4 linked regions of the Diceros bicornis minor genome follow. The protein of the gene in region 4 binds, or shares a complex with, the protein of the main gene of each other region. Links are inferred from orthologs where the notes say so. Each region holds a gene or a part of one and is shown on either strand. Other genes may lie near its edges.

Region 1 (7,768 bases), on a different chromosome or scaffold from region 4:
AGGTTCAATTTGTAATAAATTTTTCAAGTGAAAATAGTTTCCTTCTAGGTATTTGCTTATATTTTATTTCAGGTTCCTAGCAAAATGCCTGTTACAGAGTAGGAACTCAATATATATAGTTGAATAAATGAATCAATATATTATTAATACTATAAATATTTTAGAATGAAATCTCCATGTGGCAAAGAATCACATCCTCCTTTGGAATCCATTCATAGCAGCATAGAATTCAGTATTTTGATACTAAGAGTATTATTTTTATATTGATACTCATTGCGTATATAACCAAGAGAAATGAAAATACACGGCCACACAAAAATTTGTACGTGAATGTTCACAGCAGAATTATTCATAATAGCCAAAAATTGAAACAACCCAAATGTGCACCAACTGATGAATGAAGAAATAAAATGAAATGTGGTGTAAACCATACAACAGAATATTATTCAGCAATTAAAAGGTATGAAGTACTGATACGTGCTACAACATGAATGAACCTTGAAAACACAATGCTAAGTGAAAGAAGCCAGTCACAAAAGACCATGTTGTATGATTTCATTTATATAAAATGTACAAAATAGGCAAATCTATAGAGACAGAAAGTAGATTAGTGGTTGCCAAGGGCAGGGGTGGATGGGGGGATTGGGACGGGATGGCTAAGGGGTACAGAGTTTCTTTTTGGGGTAATGAAAATGTTCTAAAATTGATCGTGGTGATGGTTACACAAGTTTGAGTATACTAAAAGCCATTGAATTGTACATTTTAAATGGGTGAATTTTATAGTATGTAAATTATATGTTAACAAAACTGTTTAAAAACAGTTCTGTTAGTAAGAAAGAAGGCAAGAATGAATATCAGCTAGGCAACCGGCAGTTTCTGCACAGTTAATATCCAAATCATAAAGAGCTTCTACAAATCAATAAAAAAAATTAATGACTTAGCAGGAACATGAAAAAAGATATGAAAAAGCATTTCGTAAAATAAATACAAACAAATACAAATACATGGACATATAAAAAGAAACAACCTTACAAACAATCAAAAAATGCAAATTAAAATAATAATGACACACCTATTTTTCAACCTATTAAGATTGGCAAAGTATAAGTACATACCCTTTGAACAAGAAATTGCACCTCCTAAGAATGTATCCCACACAGCCATGTTACTAAAAGTGTGGTCCATGGATCAGAGCACTGGCATCACTTGAGGGGTCAGAATCTACATTTTAATGAGATCCTCAGGCAATTCCTATGCACATTAAAATTTGAGAAGTACTGCTACATGTATAAGTATGCATGCAGCAGAGTCAAGGTTTATCTATGAGGATTTTTATTGCAGCATTGTTTATAATGTTGACAATTTTTTTTAAAAGTTAATATTCATCAATGGGGAACAGTTAAAAAATTACCATGTATCCACATAATGAAAGACTAGACAACTATCGAAAAGAGATAGATCTATGACTAATGATATGAAAGATGTCCAAGACATATTATTAAATGAAAATAATCCAGTTGGTGAACAGTATGTATGATTGATACCATTTTTGTTTTTTAAAAATTTATATATTTATTAATAAATGAGGGGCCGGCCCAGTGGCGCAAGTGGTTAAGTGCACACGCTCTTCTTCGGCAGCCCAGGGTTTGTGGGTTCGGATCCTGGGCGCGCACTGACACACCACTTGTGAAGCCATGCTGTGGTGGCGTCCCATATAAAGTAGAGGAAGATGGGCACGGATGTCAGCCCAGAGCCAATCTTCCTCAGCAAAAAGAGGAGGATTGGCTTGGATGTTAGCTCAGGGCTGATCTTCCTCACAAAAAAAAGAAAAAAATAAATAAATAAATGAGAGTGGTGCTGAGGGAGATCATGGCTTTTATGTTCCTCTATATACATTTCTCTATTATTTGCACTTTTATTTTAATTAAATATTATTTTTATAGTAGAAGGAGATTCTATTTAGACCAGCCACTGGAGGAAGGATGTCATCCAAGAGGAGAACATGAAGTATTTAGCTCTCATTCCATGGTGTCAAGGAAACACAAAATAAAATCTCCGATGGCTCCTCACAGCTTTCAGGATGAAGTCCAGATTCCTTAGTGTAATCCAGGTCTGTCTGCTGTTCCTACCTCATCCCCGAGTGCACCTACTGTTCCAGCCAGCAGAGCCACTTGCCTTCCTTGCACAGGCATTGAGTTCTTTCTGCTCCAGGTCTTGCCAAAGGTGCTTCCTCTGTCTGGAATCTCTGCCCTGAATATATGATATCATGTATACACATGTACTATCAAATTATCCCCTGGCACTTAATTAAAGCTCTATAAGTGTTGGGTATCATTATTATAACCTCTGTCTCATTATATTGAATTACTTGTTTACTTAACCCTGTCACTGGACTGTAAGCCCCCTGAAGACAGGAACCCTGTTTTAATGTCCTTGAGTACAGCCTGACACAGAGTAAGTGCTTAACGAAAGTATGCTAACTGATACATCCCTAATCCTTATGTCACATCTTTTCTTCCCACCTAATGTGTCTTTCTCTTTCTTCTGGGCCAAGGAAAATCACATTCTTTCCCTTGACTACAGCAAACCGGGAGGATTTTTCCTTTCTGTGCACTCCAACAATACAATTACTCTTATTTGCATAGCACTTCTAACCCTTCAAAGTGCTTTCATATATACCCTTTCTTATTCCTCACAACAACCCAGTACTGAGGAAACAGGCAAGGGGTGGGGAGGAGGCAGGGAGATGTCTGCTGAGGGTCAACTGTGTGCAAGGCAATTTACCCACATTGTCTCTTTTAACCTTAACAATCCTTTAAGGTGGACATTTTTATCCCCATTTCACAAATGTGAAAATTAAACCTTGTAAAATGATATAACCTGCTGAGAAACACACAGCTGTTAAATGGTAGAGTGGGTTTGAACCTGGTGTCTCTAACCTGGTGTCTGCTAGTTCCATGACATCAAGTGAACAGATTTGTCTATTAACTATATTAGCCAAGCTGGACAGGGCAGGAGGTAATATTTCCTGATTTCTAGCCCCCGTCTTCCGTCAGACCGCTTTGCATGTTACATAAAGTCTATAAGGCACGCTTTAACAATCACATGATATCTTGCCTTGTTGCCTAATTGTTTTATTTATATTAGATTCTACAAGATTGGTAATATCCTCCTTTCCCCAGGCAGGAATTGTGTCATAAATATTAACCTCCCTGAGCCTTAGTTTCCTCGTCTTTCAAATATCTATCATACAGGACTGGTGTGGAGATTAAATATCACTTGCAAAGGCATCTTACACAATGTCTGGTGCAAACTCTCCAGAAATATTTGTCACATCTCAACCTTTCTCTCTTTCATTGCCTTCAACAAGTCACGCAGGCCTGAGTGCCTGGGTGTGGCTGTATCCATTCTTGTTGATTATTTATATAACAACGTTGGATGAGGACTATTTTGGTGGGCACAGGTTGGATTTTCTCCCTTACTATCCCCCAAAAGGTTTGCATCAAACCATTCCAGGGTGTGAGGAGGAGTGAAATGCGCCCAAACTGGGTTTAGCCGTCTACACGTACTTCAGCATGGATTAGACGCATACTCGATCCCTGTCGGTATAGTTAAGCCTATTTTACAGATGAGAAAAAGGAGGCTTAGGTAAACTGCTAGTAAACTGCAGATCTGCTAAGACTCCAGCCCAGGTCTCAAGATACTCTGGTCATGGGCTCCTTCCACTCCACCAAGCCACCTGCCAAAGGTGGCTGAAAATAACTAACGGGTGGGACCTATGCGGGGGTGGAGTGGGGTGGTGGTGGAACCAGACCACTTACCTTGGTATTTCTTGCTCCTCTTTCCCCCTTTTTGCTTCAGGGGATGAGCTTCTTTTGAATTCACAGTACTTTTGCATTGAGGGTGTCCAGTCCCTTTCAGGTCTCAGGTGACGTAATTGCTAGCCCCGCCTCCTCTCGCTGCACTGTTCTAAGCCCCGCCCATTATTTTATGCCCTGTGCCAATTATTGCGCCTCATCCGGGTTCCTGGGATTGGGAACTCGGGCTCGTAACCAGGCAACTACTGATCCACCGGCTCCGGGGCGGATTTTCAGCTCAGTTCTTCGCGGCTCTTCTCTCAACCGGCGCCGCTGCGGAAGCCAAGTGCCCCGCCCCACCCCTGTTGCCATAACAGCAGTACACAACGCCTCCTTCCCCCTTGCTGCTCTTTCAAAACACTCTTTCCCTCTTGGGGCCAAGACCCTCTCCATAACCGCTTCTAGTTGAGCAGGACCAGGGTCTGCGCCCCTTTGCGAAGGATTGGGTGGGAGGGTTGGAGACTGCGTCAGGCTGGTGTCCCAGAGGAGATGGGAAATGGGGCTAAGCAGGGTGGGCGAGTTAGAGGAAATGAGTGGAGCAGGGGTTAAGGATGCAAGGGGAGGGGAGTGTAGGGATCGGTAGGAGAGATTGAAGGAGAACGTGGTTTAAGGAGGAGGTGGGAAGAACTGAGGAGAGAAGAGTCCAGGAAGCAGGGAGACCACGGAGCTGCTAGAGGCGAGTTGGAGCCACTGTGAAGGGCAGGAAAAGTCTCAGGGGTCTGGGGAGGCATCCTGAAAGGAGAAGGCTCCTTGGTGGGAAGTATGAAGTGGAGGTTGGGAGTCAAAAAGAGATGTTCACAGGGATGAGGAAAGAAGCATAGTCAGGAGGAGGTCAGGGGTGATGGGGTGATGGGAGGGGTACCTGGTCAACCAAGGTGAGGGAGCTGAGGAATGGAAGACGCTGAGGAGACTTTCTTTCTCAGGACGAGGACCTTGCTTGATCTGATTCCAGAGCCTTCAGCAAGGAAGAAAGATGTCAGATGAAGATGATCTGGAAGCCTTTGAGCCAGACGAGGATGATCTGGAAAAGGAAGACGATGAGAAGGAGACAGAGGAGTGGGAGGACTACAGGAAAGAGGGAGAAGACTTCACTGAGGAAGTGAGCGCATAGAAACAGGGGTCCTAGGGCTAAGGGATGGGGTTGGGCTGGAAAGGGATGCCTGACTCCATTTCCTCCTGCAGTGGATGCCCACTCCCCTCACGGAGGACATGATGGAGGAAGGGCTTTCTCTGCTGTGTAAGACAGGCAATGGACTGGCTCATGCTTATGTCAAGCTGGAGCTTAAAGAGAGGTGTGTTTATGGGGGACCAGAAGAGGACTGAGGTTGTAGAGCCCGGTCTCCTTTCTCACTCTCATTTCTGGGTGTTTCAGCTGAGGGTTTGGATCTCGCTCCTCCCGGGCCAGTGGGGACAGAAGGATAGAATTTACTTTTCAGGAGCCCTGTGACTTGCTGTGTCAGAACTGGCCTGGGAATTGGAGGCTGTGAGGGTATGTTGGGGGATTCCTACTGGACTCCCACACTTGTCCTTTGGAGTGTTGGTTCTCAGCCCTTCACAGACACAAGGTCCCTGTCTATTGTTAGGAACCCACCTACCTTCCCCTCCTCACTCCTCCCATCTGTCACCTATTCTTCTCCCTGTTATAAGCCATCTCCTTATTGCCTCTGCTTTAGCATCCCTGCCAGTCCTTGCTGGATTTTTAACCCTAACCCTGGCCTCTGCCATCTCCTAGAGATCTGACAGACATCTACTTGCTGCGTTCCTACATCCATGTGCGCTATGTGGATGTTTCTGAGAACCACCTGACAGACTTGTCCCCACTCAATTACCTCACCCACCTGCTCTGGCTCAAGGCTGATGGCAACCGGCTGCGGAGTGCCCGGCTGAACGAGCTGCCCTACCTGCAGATTGCCAGTTTTGCCTATAACCAGATCACTGACACTGAGGGCATCTCTCATCCTCGTCTCAGCAGCCTGGATCTCAAAGGTGGGCCTTAGGATGGCTACACAAGATTCGTTCCTTCCTAGCCTGGGGCCAACAGAAGTGGGCAGTGTGGTCCTTGGCTTTGCCACATAGCAATCTGCACTCATTCATTCATTCATTCAGAGATTCATTATAATTCATTATGACAGTTCTATGTGCTGGAGATAGAACAGTGAACAAAACAAAGAAAATCCCCATTCTCATGTAGCTTACATTCTAGTCAGGGGAGACAGACAATTATTGATGAACACAATAAATAAGTAAATTATATAGTATGTTAAAAGGAGATATATGCTTTGGAAAAAATAGATCAGGGTAAAGGGAATTGGGGGGCACAGGTGGCAATTTCAAACAGGTTGGTCAGGACAAGCATCATTGAGAAGCTGACATTTGAGCAAAGACTTGACAGAGGAAAGGGAGGTAGCCATGTGGATTACTGGTCACTCTTCACTCACTCCTCAAAGGCTTAGGGGGAGGTGTCCATCAGCCCCTTGGACTACCAGACCACTTGCCCCAGGGCCCCGAAAGTGTTAAGTCTGGAGCTGTCCCTCCTCATATCCACCTGGCATTAGAGGGAGAGGATGATGCAGAGTCTCCCAAAGTTCAGGCTGTACTGCTGAACATTCGGAGTGGCGCTTTGAGCTCTTGACACCCTCCTGCTCCTCAGGAAACCGCATCCACATGGTGACAGGTCTGGACCCTCAAAAGCTGATCAGCCTGCACACACTGGAGCTTCGGGGGAACCAGTTGGACAGCACCCTGGGAATCAACCTTCCTAAGCTGAAGAACCTCTTCCTGGTAGCTCACAGGGTCAGAAGGTGGTTGGTGCAGGAAAGAGGGCACTGTCCTGGGGGCCAGGATGCCTGGCTTCTAGTAGCTCAGCTACTAACCTCATCATCATAGTGATAATTGGTATCATTTGTTGAGCCCTTACCTGGTGCCAGGTGCTGTAGGGATGCAAAGTTAAAACATACAATGTGCTTACCACCTAGCAGGGCTGATAATACATAAGGTGTGGACAATGCGGAAACGGCTTGCTTTGATACAGGTAGCAGCATAATGTGCCATAACTGAGGTACAGACCTCAGGCTGAGGAGGCCACTTAAATGTTTAGTCTTTTAGACTCCTGAGCTTCTTCATTCCTGAATGGTGCTGAAGCCATTTCTCCTCAACAGAGCAGTGGGGGCTCTTGGGCCCGGGGGTAGGTTGAAGCATCTCCTCCATAATCAGATGTGGCTTTGGGGGGATGAGCAGTAGGGGGTTACTGCTGACCACTCTCTGAGCTGGAAGCTTCTCCTGGACTTCTTTACTCTCTACACCAATCTCTACCCACCTTGCTCCCCTCCTGCACCGCTCCCTCCCTAGTTCTTAGATTTCCTCTTTTGCTGCATCTCTTTCTGACTTCTCTTCCTTCCATATCCAGGCCCCCCTTTCCTAATCTATCTCCTGTATCCTGGAGTCTAGGCCCAGAACATGCTGAAGAAGGTGGAAGGCTTGGAGAACCTTACCAATCTCACTACCTTGCATCTTCGAGACAACCAGATTGAAACTCTGAGTGGCTTCTCCAAGGAAATGAAATCACTGCAGTACCTCAACCTGAGGTATGCACCCCCTCCAGGCCCCACCTTGCCCCTACCCTGACCAGGAGAAGCTTTTGACCCTGTGTTCCTCCCTGCCCCCAATCCCTCAGTCCACGCCCACTCCTAGATCCTCATCCTCCATCCTGATCCTCCCTCTTCCTTTCTTTTACATTCAGTTCTAATTGCAACACTAAGACCTTTACACCTGCGACTCCTGAATCCTTATTCATTCACTCCACAGTTATGGAGGATGTGCTATGTATCAGGCCTGGTGCTGTGTTTTGGGAACATTTAAAGGAATCAGAGATGGTCCCAGTTCTCAAGGGACTCACAGTCTGGCTCCAACTC
Region 2 (7,075 bases), on a different chromosome or scaffold from region 4:
CTGCATTCCAAGGAAGCCGCTCCACTCCCAGTCCTTGGGCGGCTGCCACACTGTGTAGGTGTCACAAACCCTTCCTGGAAAAAGCATCTGCTCTAAATTGCATATTTCCAACAATGGCCTCCATGAAATATGCTGACCTAACAATTACTTAGAGGATGCAAAGACAGTAGAGCCAGAATAACAGAGCCACAACCTGAGGCCTGGAGAGGGAGGGGGCAAAGGGATGCCTTTTACAGCCACTCCCCACAAACTCAGGGCACATTCACAAGGGGAAGGGGCTATTTTTTGGAGTTTCCCAGACCTCCTCTGAAGGTCTGCTTACACTGGTCCTCCTTGTTCACAGGCTCGCACTCAGTAAGTAGGGCAATAAGCACGGTGATTGTCTTTGTCCACACCATATTCCAAGTGCCAGGCAGACCTAGGTGATCCATAAATATTCCTGATGTAATCAGAGGAGACTCTGCCGCTCGTGAGCAGAGGCAAGAGCTCCTGCTCCTTTCCGCCTGTCTGTGCCCACTCTGGCACTCACCACCTCAACCAATGTCTAGCTAGGCTTCTCCTGCCCCGCAATGCCCGGCACATAAATTAAAACAGAACATGGGAGAGCCCCCCCCCCCCCCCCCCCCCCCCCCCCCCCCCCCCGTGGCTTAGCGGTTAAGCGCGCTAGCTCGGCTGCTGGCGGTCTGGGGTTCAGATCCCAGGTGTACAACAACACACCACTTCTCTGGCCATGCTGAGGCCACGTCCCACATACAGCAACTAGAAGGATGTGCAGCTATGACATACAACTATCTGGGGGGGGGCGGGGGGCCCACCTGAGTTGGTTCTAAAAGGAACCAAGCAGAGGTCGCCAGCAAGTGCAAAGGTGCTGAGTAGTGAAAATACCGGGCCATCGGGCACTCGGGGCAGTCTCCTCCGCCCCTGGCTGTGAGGGTGTCCCGCCCTTCACCGACTGTAGCTCTTTGACGTTGCTCCCAAGAGCCAGCTGCCCCTTTATCCTTCCCAGTGCGCACTGGCCTAACCATCCCATCAATTCCTCTTTTCCGTTGCCCCCTCCTCACAGCCTCTAGGCTGCATGTCTCTGCTCACCCACCCTCTTGCTCCCTCCTCTCTGTCGCGACCCCTCCTCGCTGAGGCGCGTTCTCCCCTCGGCCCCCTCCGCTCATCCACCCACGTGCCCCCTCCTCTCTGGGGGCACGTTCTCTCCTCGGCTCCCTCCTCGGCGCCCTCCGCTCACCCGCCCGCGCGCCCTCTCCTCTCTGGGGGCATCTCTGGCACCCGAGGTGCGCGTGCTCGTTGCCTAGCGACGGGACGCGGCTCGCGGGAGGAGGGCGCGTGCGCGCGTCGGGCGTGGCCTCCTGAACGCAGGCGCGGGTTGGGAAGAAGGGTTCCTAGCGCTCGGCCGGGCTCTGGCGGCGCAGGCCGGTTTGGCCGTTGGACCTGGTGAGTGGTGTGGCGCTCGGGCGACGTTCCGGAGCCGGCCGCGGTCAGTTCAGCGCCGGAGGCTCCGCGGGCGCGTCGGCGGTTCCTCTTCCTCCTCCTCGGGGGCGAGCGGCGCAGCGCCTGCTGGAGGGCCGGACCTCCTTCCGCGGACCCGAGATGGGAAAAGGAAGCTGAGCGTCCCGAATCGAGGGTTGCCGGATAAAATACGGGACGCCCAGTTAAATTTGAGTTTCAGATAAGTAAGGAATAACTTTGTAGTACAAGTATAGTATAATATAGATCATTCGTTATTTATCTGAAATTCAAGTTTAACTGGGCGTCGTGTATTTTTATTTGCTAAATCTGGCAACCCTACCCAGATCCTCTCCTTTCCCACTCGGCTGGCCAGCTTTCTCCCAAGAATGGGCCAGGGACGTCTCTTTCTTGTGACAGCTTCTCCAGGCTTGTTTCTGTGAGAAGAGGCTTACTGATGTTGAGCCAAGATGCCTGTTGGTGTGTATGACGGATAACATTCCTTACAACAATCTTGTGAGATGGGTATTATTACCATTTCATGGACAGGAAACATGCCAGGTGAGATAAGGAGCCTCCCCGGGATCCCGCTGATAATGGGATGCAGCGTCTGAGACGGACCCTGGATGGGGCCCTACTCCTGGGCCAGAGGTTCCCCTTTCCTCTGTATTATCCCCTTGCTATGTGTTATCTTTCTGGAGCAGCAGGAGGCTATTCATTTTTTACGTTACTCCGCTTCTAATGACACTGAGATGTCAGTGTAGTTATTTTTGTCTTTAGAGCATATCCCAGTGAAGAAGTACAGTGAAGATAACTGTGTTGCAAACTCAGTTGTAATAATTCTTTTCTCTATGTCATTGAGACACCAATGCTAGCTTGATAGGGAATTAGGTTCATTTGTGCCAGCGTTCAGCTTTGAGAGTTTTTATGACTACATTTATGTGTACACACGTAGACATTGCTTTCCCCGCTGCTGTTGCTATCACGGAAGATGGCATCCTATGTACAGTTTCTGCACCTTGCTTTTTCCACTTCACACTATATCCTAGAGATCACCCCCTGTGTTAGAGATTCTCCTCATTCTCATTATTATATATCCGTGCAATAATCCATTGTGTTGCTGTATTTCATCAGTCCCCTAATGATGAACATTGGGATGGGGTTCCATTTTAGTTTTTCTAAACAATGGTGCAAAATAACCATTTGCATATATCACTTCATATTTTTTCAAGATAGGAGCCCAGAAATGAGATTGATGGGTCAAAGGGTAAATCATATGTAATTTTCTAGATATTGTCAAATTTCCCTCCAAAGGAGTTATGTCATGTTGTACTCTCACCACCATTGTATGAGAGAGAGCAGTATTGGGGTCTATGGATGAACCTCAGGAGGTCATTGTTTCTGAACTTTTATGCAGAATGTTAGGTGCATTTGTCCAGGGACAGGTCTGGACACACTGGCATTGTATCCCCAATAATTGCTCATGCCTGACATACAGTAGGTACTCATTATATATTTGTTAATGATTGTATTTCATCGGAGTCTGGATTCCATAAGGGTAATTTGAGGGTGATCAGTTTTTTAAACCTGAGATATAGTGGTTGCTACATTTCTTTTTTAAAAAAGTCTGGTCTAAGATTATTCTTGTCCATCTTCATAACTGAATAGACTGGGACATTACTGGGAGAGTGGAGGAACTCTCTCACTTGCCACCATAAAGAGCCAGCTGTGTCAGCCTTGTGATTAAAACCCTCCTTGAGGGGCTAGAGGAGCTTGTCTTCTAGTGGGAGGACAGACGTGCGTACAGACGGTGCTCAGGTAGTGTGACAAGGGCTGTGTGAGCTGCTTGGGGAAGGAGGAACTTTTTTATGTTGCCTGAGAAAGCTCAGGGAATGAGAGATGATCTACATCTTGCAGGTGAGGAGATATTTGCCAACTTGAGAGATTGTGAGGGATCATCATGTGCAAAAGTCGTGGAGATGCAAATGTGCGAGGTGTGGTCAGCAGAATGGCAGAATTTTCAGGATTTTCCGTGTAATTAGAGCCCAGGATATGCTGGGGGCTGAAGAGATGCCTGGAGCTGAGCCTGGACAGAAAACTGGAGCCAGAGTGTGAGGGGCTTTAGGTGCTGTTCTTGGAAGGTTGAATTTTTTTTGTTCTTTGGCCTTGCAGATTCAAGGACTTTTTTTTTTTTTTTTTGAGGTGGACTATTGTGACATTTTCTAAAAATGACTCTCCTGACTTGGGTGGAGCATCTTAGTACAGTCATTAAGTTCATGACTCTGGAATCAGGAGTTGCATGTGAATCCTGCCTCCACCGTGTGCCACCTGTGTGATCGTGGACTGTTCACCTGTGCTCTTTGTGCTGGGCTTCCTCACCTGCACAGAGGGATGATGACACCCATATTTCAGGTGTGTTGTGAGGCATTGTTGAGACAGGCATTGCTTGGCATATGGTCATCTTGCAATCAATAATGACAGTATTCTTTTTTTGACTCCTGGACTTGAGGGCCCATCAGGATTTGGAAACTGTTTTAGTTGTAGTGACTTCTGTGGAGCCTTTTTGGAAACCGTTAGAAGTTTCCTGGGGCCGTCGTGCTTGTACCATCCCTGATTGGAGGTGCCCCTGACTGGTGACAGGATGTAATGCTTTGTTGGCCTCACCGGACTCTACTTTTATTGTGCCTTAATTGAAAATGTTCTGCATTAATTCACAAACATTTATCTTTAAAAGTTAGGAGTTAGAAATGGAGTCGATATATCTTCAGAAGTACGTGGGGACGTGTCTAACTCAAGGTCTTGCAGAAGTGGCAAGAATTCGCCCTGTGGATCCAATAGAATATTTAGCATTGTGGATTTGCAAGTATAAGGAAAACGTGGCCATGGAGCAACTGGTAAGTATAGATCTTCTTTTAGAAAATTAGAAGAGTAAAATAATTGGTTCGGTTTGTCTGCTTTTTAAAAAAGGTCAATATTGTTATTTCTTTCTGTTATAAAAATACTATGTTTATTATACAAAAACTTGGACAAGATGAAAAAGTAGAAGAAGGAAACAATACCGAAAGAAGACCTCTATTTAGATTTTTAGGTATTTTCTTCTACTCTATTTTCTACACATCTGTCTATAGATATTTTTACATAGTTGTGATCATATTCAATGTATAATTTTAATTTTGTGCTCTTTATTTGAATAAAACATGCATTTCCCCAAATTATTATACAATTTCCAAATGGATAGACTATAATTTACTTATCCCTTTCCCTATTGTTGATAATTAAAATGCTTTCAAAATTATTTTGTCTCGAATTAGTCACGTGATATTGTTTCTAAACAATGCTAGAGACAAAAGGAAATGGCCGACTTGGAGCGTGAAAGAGAACTAGCTCTGAGGGAGCAGGAAATGATGGAGAGGCTCAGAGCAGAGGAGCTCATGTTTCAGCAGGTGAGACAAGTAACAGAGTTCAGAGGTGACTGGAATTAACAGTGTCAACCTCTGTTTGGTGTAACCCAAGTGCTGAAAAACTCCCCATCTCTGGTTATTTAGTGTATGGCTTTCTTATATCTTCATCTCTATGTATGTCTTCTTTGCTGGAAAAGCAGCAGCAGTGAGGTAGGAGGAAACCAAGGAGTGTGCCCTCGTGGAAGCCAAGGGGAGAGAGCGTCTCAGTGAGACCTTGGTGGTGAACCATGTCTATTGCTGGTTGAGTGAGAGCAGGACTGCACAGTACCCATTCAAGGCCACTGGTGACCTTGGCCAGTGTGGGTGGGGGGCGTACAGCAGGGGAGATGGTGAGTATAGATAATGCTTTCAAGGAGATTTTTAGGGAAGAAGTTTTTTTTTTTTTTTTTTTTTTTTAGGAACAGAGTGGAAGTGGAGAGGGAGTTGATGTTAAGAAATAGAGGGGATGATTTCTAGAGTCAGCTGTCCATGGAGGCAAAGCTACATTGAGTCTGGAACATAGGTTAGGCAGGTAGAAGGGAATTTCTTGATTCAAGGAAAGAGGAGAGGATGGTGTAGGTACATGTGGGTTATAGGTTTTGTGGCACAAAGTTGAAAGCAGTTTTCTGTGTGACTGTTCTTTATGAAGTAAGGACCATGATCACCTTCCAAGAATGAGGTGGTAGTGTAGGAGGTGTGGGGAGAGTGGTGAAGGTATGAAGTGGTAGCTTTGGAGCATGACAGAGAGAGTTGGCCAGGGAACCTTAGCATTACTTGGTAGCAATGAGTACCCTGATATGGTTGGAGACCAAGCATTTAAAATGTTGCCATTTGGTTTGGCTTTGTGATGATGTGATTTTTCTCCACTTAGGCCTAGATATCTGCGTGAAGATGTGGAAGAGGCAGACCCTTGACTGAAGTAGGTTTAGGGTAGCAGGACTGGGGAGCTGAATGTGTTGGTAAGAGTGGTTGAAGGGCTAGGTCATGGAGTATAAACTAGATAGAGGAAAGTTCCAGAGTGGCTTCTGCACTAATCTAATTTATGGAGAGCTTCTGAACTAAATGTAAGTCACCCCTCTAGTTCTACCATGTACTTAACTCTAGAGTCTCGACTCAAGTCTACATAGTTAAAAAGGGAAAGAAGCCTATTAGGCACCTTAGGTGGATGTGGCTGTTGAAAACTTGACTGCTTCTGAGTCTTCATTGTTCAGTCATTTGGCTTCTTCTTGTGGGAAGTTGCAAAGTGTGGAGTTGGATGTCAGTCATCTAAGTGGGCAAGTGTGTGCTGCAGTGGTCCCAACTTTGAGTGAGGAGCTGCCCTTCCTCTTGCAGCTCCTGTAGCTGGTGTGTGTCCCCCGTCTATCAGTTCTCCTTCCCCAAGACAATTACATCACAAAGGTGGAGATACTTAACTTTCTTTCACCCTTCTACTTTAACTTACTTAGATAAAATTTGACAGTACTGGAAATCACACATTTCTCTAACTGTATCATGTTGACCATATGAAGCAATCCACTGTGCATCGAACCCTAAGCATTGTATTGGGAGTGGAAGATACAATAATATTCTGCAAAAGATTTGGCCAGTAAAGAAGTGGATTGGTGGGCAGAAATAGATGAGAGAAGGAGAAGGGACATGTGGAGAGATGGACCAAGAGAGAAGAGCTTAGGAGAGAGCAAGGCTGAGATGAAGAGGAGCAGAGAGGCCTCTCCACGCCCCTGGGGTCAAGTGGGCTGGAGGTTCAGGACTCTGGCCGCCTCCCTGTTGGTTGCAAGAGCAGGTGTCCTTGTAGTCAGTACTGCTGACTTGAAGTTCCTTGACATTTTAGGCACTCTTTAGCAAGCCCTGGTCCTTGTGAACAGGCAAGTATTTTTATTGCTGTTTTCTACTTAAGAGCTTATTTATTTTTTTTTTTTGTGAGGAAGAGCGGCCCTGAGCTAACATCTGCCAATCCTCCTCTTTTTGCTGAGGAAGACCGGCTCTGGGCCAACATCCATGCCCATCCTCTTCCACTTTACATGGGACGCTGCCACAGCATGGCTTGACAAGCAGTGCGCTGGTGCGCGCCCGGGATCCAAACCAGCGACCCCTGGGCCGCCGAAGCGGAGTGCGCGCACCTAACCGCTTGTGCCACTGGGCAGGCCCCTGTGCTTATTTTTGAAGTAAAAGCTTTTTTGTTT
Region 3 (7,425 bases), on a different chromosome or scaffold from region 4:
ACAAACTCATCTAGCCCACAGCTTTGAGTATGACCTACTTGCTGATTACTCCCAAATCTCTATCTCAAACCAGGCCACTTCGCTGAACTCCGGACTTCTGTATCCAGCTGCCTACTTGGTATCTCCTCCTCAATGGCCCACACGCCCTACAAACTCAGTGAGCCCAAACATGAACACGTTTTCATTCCCTCATTTGCCCCCATTTGTCCAGACACTGCAGCAGCACAGCTGAGCATTATCTTGGCCTCCACGTTGCCCTTTGTCCCCTCCACCCCCGTCCCATCAGTCACCAAAGCGGAACTAATGCTCTGCTCCTGCCCCTTCCTCCCTACAACAGAACCAGGTCCTCCTGTTGCAGTTTCCCCCTCTCCAGTCTATTCTGTGTGCTGCCGCTGGTTTGATCTCTCTCCCTTTTGTTAACTTGATGCTTCTAAGATGCTCCCTAACCAAGTCCCCCTCCTGCCTAAATCCTTCACTGGTTCCCCCTTTGTCTTCAGCATAAAATCCAAATGTCTCTAAGAAAGATTCAAGCCCCTGCTTCTCTCTCTGGCCTTCTCCCTCACAGCTCTCCCTCCCTGCTCCCATGACCTCTCCTGTCCTTCTCTCCATGCTCCAAACTCCCCACACTGCATTGCTCAGACTTTGACGTTCTGCTCTGTAAGGCTCACCCTGCTCCAGCCCCTCCCATCTCCTCCTGGCAAATTTTTATTCATCCTTCAACAATCAGCTCAAGGGTCAGCTCCTCCAGGATGCCTTCCCTGACTGCAGCCTCCGTTCCAGGTTAGAGTCCTCTTCCCACATCCCCAGTGCCTTCGATCCCGGCACTTAGCACCAGGTGCTCCAGTGGTTTGTTGACTGGTCTGTCTCTCCCACTAGCCTGTGAGTCCCTTGAGTTGCTGTGTCTAGTTCTCTGTGCCCCCGGTGCCTAGCACAGAGCAGCAGTGAGTGAATGAATGACATGAACTCACTGTCCCACAAGGCAGCCCATCTCACTGTGGGGCAGCCCTTTTAGGCAATACTTCCTCTTACTGAGCTGGGTCTGCTGTCCTGCGAGTCTGCCTCCATCCATGAGGGTCCTGGCTGGGCCCTTGGAGCCCTTACAGAGAGAATCTGCTCTGTCCACCCTCCGAGATTTGAAGACAATTGTTACGACTTCCCTGAGACCTCTAAACCAGCCCTTCTCAATTACAAAGGTCGCGGTCAGTAATGATACTGATAGAATGCAAGTAAATTCTATCAGTGAGTAAAAGTAACGAGGTTTGAGAAGAGTTCAGTTTTTCATATAAACTGGAGTGGTTTCAAGATTATCCCCACAGAAACATCACTCTCATTCACCTGCCTTCCTGAGTGGGAGAGAGGGGGTGGGGTCACAGCTGGGATGTGGCGGCCTCGAATGAATGAGTGACACAGAGAAGGTTAATCGCTGGGCGATTATGAATCATTGTGGTGCTCCTCTTCATTATAAGTTTAGCTTTTTGGGGGAGGGGGTCAAAAAAAATCTAGGTACCCCCTGGGAGGGTGTGTTATTTATACATGTGACTCACCCCTTAAGAGTTGTTGCAGGGAAGAAGGATTAAGGACTGTTGTTTGAAACATATGCAGTTCTTTTAATCAGTCTTTATATGACATCGTTTCAGATGCCAATGATTGCTGGGCAATTTCATGTTTATTATCTCATATAATCCCATTTCAATACCACAACAACTCACTATTTTTTTTTTCAGAGATGGGAAAACTGAGGCGCAGAGAGGTTAAGTAATTTGCCCAGGTCACACAGCTAGCAGGTAGAACTTGGATCCAGACATGAGTCCTTTCAATGTTTAAGTTGGGCTTATCTTTCTGCATTCCAACTGCCCTCCCTCCTCATGACCTTTCCCTAGACAGGTCCCACTGGCCAATAGATGCTTGAACAGTGGGTGACATCACACACTGTCCTGAATTGTTCTCTACTTGTTTCATGAGTTTGTGTCTTGTTTCTCCGACCACACTGCAGACTCTCTCTACTCACCCCACTCAGATCTCCTACAGGACCTGGCCCATGGGGGGCAATTATAGTAGACATGGTGTCTGATTACCGGCTCTGCTGTTTACTAGGCTCATGGCTTTGGGATAATCATGGCACCTACCACTCAGGGTTGTTGAGAGGATTAAATGAAGTAACGACGGGAGGTTCTCAGAACATCATCTGCACAATTCAATAAATTATCACCACCCAACCTTAAGTGATAGCCAAGTCCATTCTCTCTCCTCTCTCCAGCCCACTGCCCTGCTTGAGGCTTGAGAAGACCTCTAAAGGGGTCTCTCTCCTTCCTATATAAGCTTCAATGGCACCCTGTACTTCCCCTTTTGTAACACTCGTCACACTTTTTGTAACTTATCTAACATCTGTATTCACCAACAAAATTAAGTTGCATGTCTGTCTGATTCACAATTATATCTCCAGCTGCTACCCATTGCACCTAGTCTATATGGTAGGTGCTCAATAAATATTTATCAAAAAGGCTTTTTTTCAGAAAAATGTGCTGACTCCTGTCCTAGACTTTCTTAGAAATGGACCACCAAGTCCCCAAGATTTGATGGAAGTATTCAGAGATGCAGTTTATTTAACACTAAAACTCCACGTGACGACCAGAATCAAATTTGTAACACATCCATCCGGCCAAGTCACTCTCTTGTTCACAATCCTTTGGTTCTCCACGATATCCAAGACGAGGTTCAAATGTCTCCTTTGTCCCTATTTTATTGCTTGGAAAACCAGGACACCCAGGCATAAAGGGTAAAGGATGATGGATTGGGAACTCAGACCCCACCCGAAGCCAGGATATAGGTGTGCAAGAAGCAAGAGAAGGAACCGTGCTACGCTGTGCAGGAAAGCTCAGCTTGGAAGAGAGGGGGGTGGGGCCTGCCCCAGCACACCCATAAAGCCTCGCTCTCCGACCCCCCAACTTACGCCTTCTTGATCTGGGCATCCTCTGAATTTCTAGAGATCTGGAGCACAGAGTAATAATCCCGGCCCATGGCTGGCAGGCAGGCAGGCAGGCAGTGGCTAGTCCTGACTCCAGCAGGGCTGTTAGTCTGCATTCCTTGGTTGCTCCTGACAACCGTACAGGGGCACTCTGGGAGTTGTAGTCCTTCCTGCCTAAGCAAACTGCCTTCTCAGCTCAGCCTCATAAAAGAGCAAACAAAAAGATTGGGAGAACCAGGGCTGATTCTGTGAGCCTGATAAATGTCACTGACTCAGAAACCAGAGAGTGTTCAGGGAGAGTAGCAATTACTTTTAATTAAAAGTTTTCAGAACAAATGCATTTGGCTGTTTTTTTTAAATAAATTTTTATTTTAGAACAGCTTTAGATTTTCAGAAAAGTTGTAAAGATACACAAAGTTCCCACACACGCCAGACCCAGTTTCCCCTATTATTAACATCTTACATGAGTATCGTACATTTGTCACAATTACCAGTATTGAGACATCATTTATAGTGGAAGTCCAATACTTTATCCAGATTTCCTAGTTTTTAACCTAATGTCTTTTTTCTGTTCCAGGATCCCATCCAGGACACCACATTATATTTAGCTGTCATGTCTCCTTAGGCTCCTCTTGGCTACAACTGTTTCTCAAATTTTCCTTGTTTTTGATGACATCAATGATTTAAGGAGTACCGATCAGGCATCTAGTAGAATGTCTCTCAGCTGGGATGTGTTCGATGTTTTTCTTATGTTTAGACTGGGGTTGTGGAGTTTGGGAAGGAAGACCACAGAGGTGAAGTGCCGTGCTCGTTCTGTCAGATCAAAGGTACATACTATCAACATGACTCATCACTGCTGATGTTGACCTTGATCGCCTGCTGCAGTAGTGTTTCTCCACTGTCGGGTTACTTTCGTTTCCCCCTTTCTGGATTGTCCTCTTTGGAAGGAAGTCATTTTGCAGCCCACCCTTAAAGAGTGGGGAGTTCTTCTCCATCTCCTTGGGGGCAGCAGCGCCCTGTTATCCACTCATCCCACATCCAGTCAGTCACCAAACTCAGTCCATTTTACCTCCTAGATGCCTCTCAAGCCCCTCCTCTGCCATGGCCTTGCTTTGGCTTTCATCTTTCAGCAAGGCCACTACAACATCCTCACTGTCCCGCCTGCCTCCTCTCTACCCTGCCAAGACCATACACCACACTGCCCAGAGTTAAGGCACTACAGCACTTACAACGCCCAGACTAACCATTATCTGTCTCACATTCACCTGTGCTGCCACCTCTGCTCAGACTCTCCCCAGCATACCCACCACCAACCCTGGCTTCAACCAAGCTAACTCCTACTTGTTTTTTTTTTTTTCTTATAAAGTAGCTTATATGTACAAAAGAGCAGCATTAGAACATTGCTTATTGAAGGAATGTTGCCTCTGTGTGCCCCTCCCCACCTGTTTATTTTTCTCTTGCTTTTCTTTATTGTTTTACTACTGTGCATGTATCCGGTGGTGTACTAGTAAATATTTAACAAGTAGGTCACCAGAAGGAAAAAATAGCCCTGATTTGTAGCATTTGCCAATTTCTCCCATGCTGGTACAAGCCAGCTCCAGCACACCACTGCATGTATCCCTAACAACACATTTACTTTTCAATGTTTTTATTTATTTATTTATCTATTTATTTTCCCTTTTTCTCCCCAAAGCCCCAGTAGACAGTTGTATGTCATAGTTGCACATCCTTCTAGTTGCTGTATGTGGGACGCCACCTCAGCATGGCCGGAGAAGCGGAGCGGCGGTGCTCCCTGGGATCTGAACCCCAGGCCGCCAGTAGCAGAGCGTGCGTACTTAACTGCTAAGCCACGGGGCCGGCCCCCTGCTTTTCAATGTTTTTTAACTTTATATAAATGGTGTCATTTATGCAAATGACATGTCTGTGTGTGTGTGTCTTATTTTCACGGAGGCTGTATAGCACTCTCTGTTGATGCTGGATATTTGGGTATGTGTGTCAACTTTGCGAGGTAATGTCAGTTTCCTGATGCGGTTATTCTAATTTACACGGGCAGAACAGCAGTGTGTCTGAGTTCCTTTTTGCTCCACATCCTCACTAGTTCTTGATGTCCCCTGATGGTGTTTCAGATACCAGTGACTGAGATATGTAAGAACTTTCCTGGGTCCTCTGAAACCACAGTTACAGAGAGGTCCTGCCTTAAAGTAGCTCTTTCATAGTATTTGAGGCAAAAGGTCTACTTTAGGTATATTTGGAGGAGGTAAAACACACTTTAGGAGTTGGGCCAAAAGACAGAGAAATCAATGAAAGAGCTAGGAAGTAAAGTGCAGGTTTTGGGTGAGTTGAGTGGTCAGAAAGTGACCCTGTCTTGATCCTGCTGTGCTCACATGCCATCTGTGTGACCTGAGGCAAGTTTACTTAATGGCCCCAAGTCTAAGTTTCCTTGAGTAAATGGGATTATCAACATGAACTCCACCACAGGGTTGGTGTGAAAATATTAAATGCAATTATATAAAAGCACATATCACATACAAGATGCTCCCCCAGCACTGAGGCAGTAGAGTCAGAGATCAAGTTGCAAATCCTGTCCATTAGCTACTAGTTTTATGACCTTAAACAACTATTTCTTAGCCACAGTTGCCTGGTTGTAAAATGAAAATGTGGAATTACTCTTTTTATTTTTTGCATTTCTGAACTTTCTTGTGGATTTTATTTAACTACTGAAATTGAACATCTTTTCATGTGTACTGGCCATTTGTTTTACTCTTATTACCAGAAAAAAAAGTTACTAAAAATTAAACCCATAGGGTTGGGGGAAGGCCATGCTCAGCCTGGGACTGACTGAGGTGAATGGAGGGGCAGAGGGAGACTCTGAGGGCACCATGTGGGCAGGGGCTGAGGTGAAAGGGGAGGAGACGGCCTGTGTGGTTGGCAGATTGGTTAATCACAGAGGTATTGAGCAAATAAGTGAAAGTATACTGAGAATTAGGAGAGCCAAGTTTCTCACTGTTGGAGAAAGGAGGTATGTATGTAGAAGGCTATAATAAACCCTGTCGAGTTGGATTGGAATTGCAGACATTGGTGTGAACTCAAGATTTTTAATATACATAGAATGATGGATGTAGAAATACAGATGTACGTGTGTACCGTCCACTGATAGGGCCTAGAAGCAATAATACCCCAGCAGTAAAAAGCTTACTAGTAGTACCCAGATCTTGGTTTCTGAATACCATTCTCCACTAAAAGGAACCAGGGCTATTTGGACAAATGACTGTTTCCAGGGCCGGGGTGGGAAAGTATAAGATGAGCTTGAATATCTTGTTGTACCAGAAAATACGGAAGTGCTCAAAGAATGATGGAAACATGTCAAAAGGGCATAGGATCTAGCTTGAAGGAGCTCCTACTGGCCCAACTGGGACAATTTAAACATCAAAACAAATAGTAGTAATAATGGATTATGATCCATAGAATAAAATATGAATTCATGAGTAGTTCATACTAATATATCTATGATAAATGAAGGAATGAATGAATACATACATGGAGAAGAGAAAGTTCCACCACATAGTAGAATGCCAATTATAAATGTAAAAAGGATGGAATTAGAAAATCACCATTTGGCAATTATCATAGGAATAACTGATTCAGAGATAAATCATCCAAGAATGCTAAAACTAGTTGGTGGAAGTTCTATGAGGAATAGTATATTTTATACAGTTTCAAAGTAGCTCCCCACAAAAAACTTAACTTTGCTGTGGAGAAATCTGGTAGACATCATTTTATCAATTTAACATCACCTGACTATAACAAAAAAGATAGACAAAAACAAGTGTTGGCAAGGACATGAAGAAATCAGAACCCTTATACACTGCTGCTGAGAATGTAAAGTGGTGCAGCCACTTTGGAAAACAGTTGGCAGTCTCTCAAAACATTAAGCATAGAGTAACCATCTGACCAAGCAGTCCCACTGTTAAGACATATAGAACTGCAGACCTATGTTCACACAAAAACTTGTACATGAATGTTCGTAGCAGCATTATTCATAATAGCTAAAAAGTGGAAACAATCCAGATGTCCACCAACCGATGAATGGATTAAAAAACTGTGGCAGATCCATACAATGGTGCTATTGCTCAGGTTTCTCCAGAGAAACAGAGTCAACAGGATGTGTGTGTATATATAAAGAGAGAGATTTATTTTAAGGAATTGGCTCATGCAATTATGGAGGCTTGAAGTGTCCAAAATCTGCAGAGTAGGCCTGTAGGCTGGAGACCCAGGGAAGAGTTGCAGTTCAAGTCCAAAGGCCGTCCTCTGACAGAATTCCTTCTTGCTTGGAGGAGGTCAGTCGTCTTCTATTAGCACCTTCAACTGACTGAATGAGGCCCACTCACGTCATGGAGGGTAATCTGCTCTACTCCAAGTCCACTGATTTAAATGTTAATCTCATCCAAAAAACACCTTCA
Region 4 (7,358 bases):
TAACATCTATTGCTAATCCTCCTCCTTTTTTTTCTCCAAAGCCCCAGCAGATAGTTGTATGTCATAGTTGCACACCCTTCTAGTTGCTGTATGTGGGACGCGGCCTCAGCATGGCCGGAGAAGCGGTGCGTCGGTGTGCGCCCGGGACCCGAACCCGGGCCGCCAGCAGCGGAGCGCGCGCACTTAACCACTAAGCCACGGGGCCGGCCCCACTAATTCTTTTAAAATATGGACTTTTAAAAAATTTAATGGGATATCTTTATCTTATTTGTATATTTCATTTTTTTTCCTAAAATTAATGGGTAATATACTTACAAGGTTAAAAAATTCAAAGCAATACAAAAAGGTATATACTGAAAAATCTCATTCCCATCCCTGTGCTAAGCCACCCTGTTCTTTCTTGTCCTCAATAGGCAACCATTTTTTAATATTTATCTCCTAGTGTTTCATTTTGCAAATATTGGCAAACATAAATATATATTACTTTTTCTCTATCACAAAAGAGATATCACAATTGCTACACATTGTTTTGCATCTTGCTTTTTTCCCATAACAGGACACAGAGAACTTCCTTATTCTTCCTTTTACCATTAGTTGTATAGTATTCAATTTGGTGGATTCATCAGGGTTTATTTAACCAATCTTCTAATGCTGGTGCTAAATAATCTAATTCAATCTTTTGGTGCTAAGTAAACAATGCTGCAAAACACAACTTGTATATATGTCATTTCATATTAATACATGGGTTATAGCAGGAATTCCTAGAAGTAGGACCGACGCGTCAAAGGGTAAATGCATCTGTAATATTGATAGATAATTACCAGATTCCCTTCCATAGGAGTTGTGCCATTTACTTTTATATTTTTGCCAGATGGTATCTCAGTGTCATTTTAATTTGCTTTTTTCCTGCTTCGAGATTGAGCATCTTTTCATATATTAAAGAAGCATTCATTTTTTTTCTGTGACCATCCACATGTTCTGCCCATTTTCAACTGAATTTTTACCTTTCTCTAGGAGCTCTTTAAATGTTAGGGAGATTAGTCCTTTCTCTGTGATACGAGTTGGAAATCTTTTTTCCAAGTTTGTCATTTGTGTTTTGACTTTGCTATGATGTTTATTTAGCCATGCAGAAGTTTTTCATGTTTACAGTCTTATCAATCTTTTCTTTTATGGCTCCTAGACTTTAAGTCATAGTTAAAAAGGCTGTCCCACTCCAAGAATAAAAAGAAATTCATCCACCTTTTCTTCTAGAATTTATATGGTTTAATTTTTTAATACATAAATCTCAGATCCATTTGGAGTTTATCCTGTGTATATAGTATAATACTTGAATCCAACTATTTTTTAAATGGGTACCCAGTTTTTCTAACAACATTTATTAAAAAGTTCATCTTTACCCGAGTCTTTTAATTAAACATTTCCTTATACTTTCCTGTACTATTTTCTTACTCTTTCTTGTACCATCCCTACCCTCAGCCTCCACCTACCCTTCTAAGTTCAACCGAAATTCCATCTTTCCTGAAAATTGAAGTGTTCTCTTATTTTTTAAAACACTGACTAAATAGGCAATAAGACACTGTACAAATATAAGAGAATAAAAAACTATAATTTCAAAAAAGGATAGTACAAAAAAGGAAGATTAAAACTATTCAATTCTGGGCCGGCCCGGTGGCTTAGCGGTTGGGTGCGCGCTCCACTGCTGGCGGCCCGGGTTCGGATCCCGGGCGCGCACCGACGCACCGCTTCTCCGGCCACACTGAGGCCGTGTCCCACATACAGCAACTAGAAGGATATGCAGCTGACATACAACTATCTACTGGGGCTTTGGGGGGAAAATAAATAAATAAATAAAATCTTTAAAAAAAAAAATTCTATTCTATTTGATAATCTTTAACAACACTTTTTAGATTCATTTTCAAATCTCTACCAACCACAGAACAAGGCTTAAAACATTAAATGTTTGTAATAACTGAAAAAAATACCAACAGTCTAAAAGTGCACCTATAGAGGACTAAGTAAATAAAATGTGGTTCATCCACAAAGGGGAATATTACACAGAAGTTAGGAAGAATGAGACAGATTCAGATGTAATGATCTGGAATGCTGTCTGAGGGACTTTGTAAATGGGATTAAGGGAGAAGGACTGTCCTATTTAACGGGAGAAAAAATGTTTGTAAATGCATAGAAAAATCCTGGAAGAACAGAAAGTGTTAAGTGGTTGTCTCTCTGGAGACTGGGACCTGGTGTGGGAGAGAATAGGTGAAAGGAAAAGGAATTTTACTTCTCATTTTATATCCTTTTGAAGTGTGAAAAATTTTTTTTAAATTATCACATATAACTTTCATACCTAGAAGAATAAACCTAAGTTTAATGCTAAATACTGAGGATCTAAATGGGTTAACATATTTACATAAACATAAAAAAAAGGAGCAAAGAGAGGAAAAAACATGATCATGTGCCCAGAAGTTACCTGAACAATGGTGAATCCAGATCTGAGAATAATATCTTGTATCTCCTCCTCTTTGTCAATAATATCTGGTTTGATAATGGCCAGAGTTTTTTCTACATATATCTGCGGTGGGGGCATTGATATCTCCATCCTGGCTTTTCAGGATACAATTTAAGAGATTCTTGACAGGTGTCAACTGCAATGACATGCATTCCCCACCCCAAATTTAATGTAATTGTGATTAAGAACAGCATTAGGTGCTTGCTTTTATTAATTTATAAAGTTAGAAATTGCGTATCTTTTTCTATAAACGGTGTCTCAGGAATACGATTTCTACTTCGCGTCCAAGTCGTGCCTTGGGTTTTCCTAAGCGCTTTCGAGGTGGAGAGGTCAAGGGACAATCCGAGGGCCTGGGACTAGCGTAGACTCTCAGGGCAGCAACAACAGACTAAGTCGGCAACTCCTCCTGCATTCCAGCAGCAGGTGAGCGGCAGCCTGTCCTACTCCGCCCAACCCAGCCGGACACAGCCCCGCCCGCCCAGCAGTAGGGTCAGGGCTGCTTGGAAAGCAGAATCTCTACGTCCCCTGGGCGTCTCTGGGCTGCACCCGCAGATTCCAAGTCCGACCCTTGTCTGGGGACTCACCTTACCACTTGCTCCTCCGGTGCCACCACAACTGGTTGCTAGGAGACCCGAAGCCCTGCTTAGGTACGGTGGCTGCACAGGGCCAATCCCAGCAGAGTGTTTCACAGGCTCTGGCCGGTTCCTTACAACCAAGACAGGGAGCCAGCCACAGGCGTTTTTATCCCCCGTGCAAATCTTAGAGCACTAGACATTTTCTAACATTTTTCTCATAATTTATCTTATTTCATCCTCCTAGACATTTGAAGGACACTTCAATTATCTGCATTTTACAAATGGTGAGGCAACTTACAGACACTATCCCCTCATCCTACCCCATCCCCTTCCAGACAGTGTATGGAAGAAAACCCAGGTCAAATACCTTACTCATTTCACCAGATGATACTGTCCCCTCTATTCCGATCTTCTGTAATCATTAAGAAGCAATCTTTGACTTGTGAAATAACATTTATTTATAGAACAGTAATAAGAGGTTTAATCTAGTTACCTCTAAATTAAACCTATGGAACAAAGATGTGGGCAACATTTATGGCACAACCCCAAATCTCAGCTTTCCCCATTTTCTATATATTATGAACACAGGCACCTTTGACTCCATGATTGTGAGTTAAGGCATTATTCTTATTAGAAAAGACAACTGAAAAGTGGTAAACAAGTACTGGGAGCCTCTGTGGGTCAGAGTCTCAATGAGAGGTCCGAATTCCAGAAAAGCTCAGGGTAGCAGCTCCAGGTTAATAAAACAGGTTTTTCATCATCCATGGAGTTGGCTGGTTCTCATTCCAGACTATTTAAGTCTCTTCTTTTGTCTAACCAAATACTCAGCACCTACAGGGTCAAGGCAGACAGCAAGCTATGAATCTTTATGCAATTTTATTTTTCTGCAAAGAGATTTGACTATGTTTCTTTCAAGTATGATGCTGCCCAGAAAAGAAACCCTCAAATGCCTTCTTCTGGCTACCATGTCTTATCCCCTATAGATGAGACAGTATGAACATACATTAATATCAACAGGTATAGCAACCAAAAAACAGACAGTGACTCCAGCCTCTAGTTTGCATGTTTAGCCCTCCGACTTGAAGCTCTGGAAGCAGGAGCTCCCGTTACTTATCTATCCCTAGCTCTCTTGAGAGCTCTTCACTGCTGCCTGCTTTCCTAGACTACTTTACTTCACTATTGATTAAAGCTGGTCCTGCAGAGGCTCAGGGTTTTCCAGCAAGTACAAGGTCAATCCTTCAGGGCCTTGAATCACCTCTAAACATAAACTCTGGGAACACAAGGCCACTTCAACATCACTCTTATTCTCACAGACCTCCTAAAATCAGATTCCAGAGGCTACTCTCCTTTTTCTTGCAGCTCTCTACATACAGTACCTGAATCTGCTCCAAAACTTCTCGCTGCATCTCCACAGCCATATGGTACACATGATGATCAGAGTCATTGTACATCACAGCATTTTGGAACATCAGCATCAGGTCCCTCTGAAACTGAGCCATGGTGCGAATCCGTCCCTTAGACAGATTCCTCTTCAGGCTGGTTAAGTCCATGGGTCTACAGGTGGCGAAGAGAAACCAGAGGAAATCAAACCTTCATGTGGAACATGTGGTGACCTAACATATTCTCTTGGAGAACTAGCCAGCTCTTAATGAAAACAGTATAAAGAGAGAACTAACCAGCTCTTAATGAAAACAGTATAAAGATAAGAATCCCCATAAGATAATAAAATAGCAACAGCAGCTAACATTTGACTGTGTATAAGAGGCCAAGCGTGATGCTAGGTACTTTTCTAATTGAATTCACTCGATCCTCTCAATAAACCTATAAGGTAGATACCATTATCATCTCCAACTGGCAATGAGGAAACTGAGATCTAAAGAGGTTAAGTACTTGCCCAAAGTCACACAGCCTGGGTTTCAATTCAGAGGCAGCCTGACTCCAGAGCCCAGAGGCCCAGCCACTACACTCTACTATTGTAGGAGGAGTGCTGGCCCAAGGTACCAAAGTTGTAAAGACCTCCAATGATCACTGTGTCACATGGTCGTTACTGACTGATTGTTTATAATGCATAGTCATATACTAGGTATTTAATCTACTTTTCTTAATTCATAATCAAAAGCTAAGAATTGTTTCCTCTTTCATGGAGATGAAAAGAGTGAGAATCAAGTGAATATTAAGATACATAATTATTTAATGAGATACAGAAAGTGGGTATATAAGAGAAAGCACAGCAGTGTAGAAAGAGGGCTTTTCTGGGAAACTGGGAGGTAAGAATCCGGGGTTTAGTTCAAGCTCTGCTATTCACTATTGATCACAGGCAAGTCATGACCACCTCTGAGCCTTAGTTTCCTCATCTAGAGAATAAAGGAGTCTGTCTCCAAAGGTCCTTTCCTGATCTTTTATAGTCTAATAACACACTGGTTTACGGAAGCATTTTAGATGAACTACGCCATAAAAATCCAAAATACTGCAATCAACCAATGTTTGTAACATCCATTTGGATTACCATCTTTGCCTTAGCATACCTATAACTGCCTGAATAAATACAGTGTTCCTTTTAAAGTTTTGTTCCAAAAGAACAGTGTCAAAAACTACCAAAGGTTAATGTAAGATTATAATGAATGGATCATTTTACTTAAAAGTCAACACTGAAAAAAAAAAAGCCTATATTATCCTTTTGTTCCCTGCATTCTTTCTCAAATGAAGACTGAGCTCACCATAACTTTACAAACTTGTTCGGCTGGAAAATATATCTTGAGTTTGTAAGTAATGTAAATGAAATAAGGAAATAATCTAATAGATGGGAAATACAGTATGAAAAGACAGATATAAAAGCAACCAACCTTTCTTTCTTTTTTTTTTGTGAAGAAGATCAGCCCTGAGCTAACATCCATGCCAATCCTCTTTTTGCTGAGGAAGATCGGCCCTCAGCTAACATCTATTGCCAATTCTCCTCCTATTTTTTTTCCCCCTTTTTCTCCCCAAAGCCCCAGTAGATAGTTGTATGTCATAGTTGCACATCCTTCTAGTTGCTGTATGTGGGACACGGCCTCAGCATGGCCGGACAAGCAGTGCGTCCGTGCATGCCCGGGATCCAAAGCCGGGCCGCCAGTAGCGGAGCGCGAGCACTTAACCGCTAAGCCATGGGGGCAGCCCACAACCAACCTTTCTTGACCACTTTTCCACTGACCTTTTCACCACATCCTTGTATCCTGGGGCCTGCCTTTCTGATACAGGCTTCAGAAAAGGACTGCTGAACCTGTTAAAGGACAAACATCAAGAGGATGAAGAAACTCTGGAAAGTCACTCTAAATGAGAAGAGTGGCTGTGAATGCCACAAATGGCTTGGAGACCTACCTGTGGCTGGCAATCATCTTCCAGACTGGCAGGAGAGTCTTCTTAAATAGCAAGTGATCCTGAACAGGGTCACTCTGGCCTAGATCAGACCTATGGGATGAAACAGGACAGAAAAGAAACAGTAACTTCACATATGGTATTCTGTCTCCCCCAGTGGGTAATGAAGTTAACACCTAGTACTCCTAGTTAATTCTATAAATATTCTTATTGGTCACTACTACCCAATGAAGTGGTTACATCATAAAGTATACTACAAACCTACAAATGCCTGTGCCTCTTGGACTCTTGCTGATTTGCTCTTCAGCACCTGTGACTCTAAAGAACTGGTCCATGAAAGTGATCTTTGTTCACTGATGTTTCACAAGTGCTTGGCACATAGTAGGTGCTCAATTAAGTATCTGATAAATGAATCTGATCCTGTTTTTATGCAGAAATATGCCACATTAATAAGTATTTCTCCCATATTTCCAGAGAAGGAAATACTTGATTTCACATTCCAAAGAATTCTCTTATGTTTCATCTGAATGCTACATGATTTAAATATTTTTCCTTTTCACTCTCCCCTATATAGTAATCTTTAAAATACCTAAGAAAAATCATTTCTCCTCAGGGACCTTCCTTCTCTGGGCTAATTTATTTAGTTTTTCTTTGGAGATGCAATGTTTTATTTCATTTTATAATTTTCCCAGTTGGCAAGTTTTCTGTTTACTCCAAAGTTAAACATCATGTTTATATACTTTACACACTATATATTCCCACTTTATACACTGCATTATGCTCTCTAAATGAGTTCTCTTCACACCTAACGTTTCACACCCTCATTCCGCTTTATGTACCATATTGTGTGTGTTCATTTGAGCACAACTCACATCTCATTTTATTTTTATCCAATTTGAGCAACTCCACATAACTATTCA

The links.
Region 1: NME5 (region 4) and LRRC23 share a complex: the UniProt entries of both Homo sapiens proteins name them as parts of the axonemal radial spoke complex. The link is inferred for Diceros bicornis minor from reciprocal best matches to the Homo sapiens genes NME5 and LRRC23.
Region 2: NME5 (region 4) and DYDC1 share a complex: the UniProt entries of both Homo sapiens proteins name them as parts of the axonemal radial spoke complex. The link is inferred for Diceros bicornis minor from reciprocal best matches to the Homo sapiens genes NME5 and DYDC1.
Region 3: the proteins of NME5 (region 4) and DNAJB13 are in contact, whole or in part, in a cryo-EM structure (PDB 8WZB), measured with the Mus musculus proteins. The link is inferred for Diceros bicornis minor from reciprocal best matches to the Homo sapiens genes NME5 and DNAJB13. Residues at the interface, in NP_542368.2 of Mus musculus: Glu52, His53, Asn56, Met193, Lys199, Pro200, Lys201, Leu202, Cys203, His204, Phe205; in NP_705755.2 of Mus musculus: Thr156, Lys157, Lys158, Thr181, Ile182, Asp183, Arg185, Trp188, Arg189, Gly191, Thr192, Arg193, Ile194, Thr195, Phe196, Glu197, Pro281.

The regions. Positions count from the first base shown.
Region 1 is NC_080756.1:54,855,724-54,863,491, reverse strand, and holds the start of LRRC23 (leucine-rich repeat-containing protein 23), read left to right. Parts: upstream 1-4,763; 5' UTR 4,764-4,830; coding exon 4,831-4,956; intron 4,957-5,039; coding exon 5,040-5,149; intron 5,150-5,589; coding exon 5,590-5,843; intron 5,844-6,507; coding exon 6,508-6,638; intron 6,639-7,304; coding exon 7,305-7,441; intron 7,442-7,768. UniProt on the Homo sapiens protein: Essential for sperm motility and male fertility. Plays an important role in the proper assembly of the third radial spoke (RS3) head and the bridge structure between RS2 and RS3 in the sperm flagella.
Region 2 is NC_080745.1:5,133,804-5,140,878, reverse strand, and holds the start of DYDC1 (DPY30 domain-containing protein 1), read left to right. Parts: upstream 1-4,070; 5' UTR 4,071-4,202; coding exon 4,203-4,349; intron 4,350-4,796; coding exon 4,797-4,898; intron 4,899-7,075. UniProt on the Homo sapiens protein: Functions as part of axonemal radial spoke complexes that play an important part in the motility of sperm and cilia. Plays a crucial role during acrosome biogenesis.
Region 3 is NC_080746.1:56,968,490-56,975,914, forward strand, and holds the start of DNAJB13 (dnaJ homolog subfamily B member 13), read right to left. Parts: upstream 3,019-7,425; coding exon 2,951-3,018; intron 1-2,950. UniProt on the Homo sapiens protein: Functions as part of axonemal radial spoke complexes that play an important part in the motility of sperm and cilia.
Region 4 is NC_080740.1:56,757,591-56,764,948, forward strand, and holds the start of NME5 (nucleoside diphosphate kinase homolog 5), read right to left. Parts: upstream 3,022-7,358; 5' UTR 2,600-3,021; coding exon 2,471-2,599; intron 1-2,470. Other genes in the region: bromodomain-containing protein 8-like, read right to left, coding at 3,865-3,915, 4,461-4,638, 6,275-6,343, 6,442-6,531. UniProt on the Homo sapiens protein: Functions as part of axonemal radial spoke complexes that play an important part in the motility of sperm and cilia. Does not seem to have nucleoside diphosphate kinase (NDPK) activity.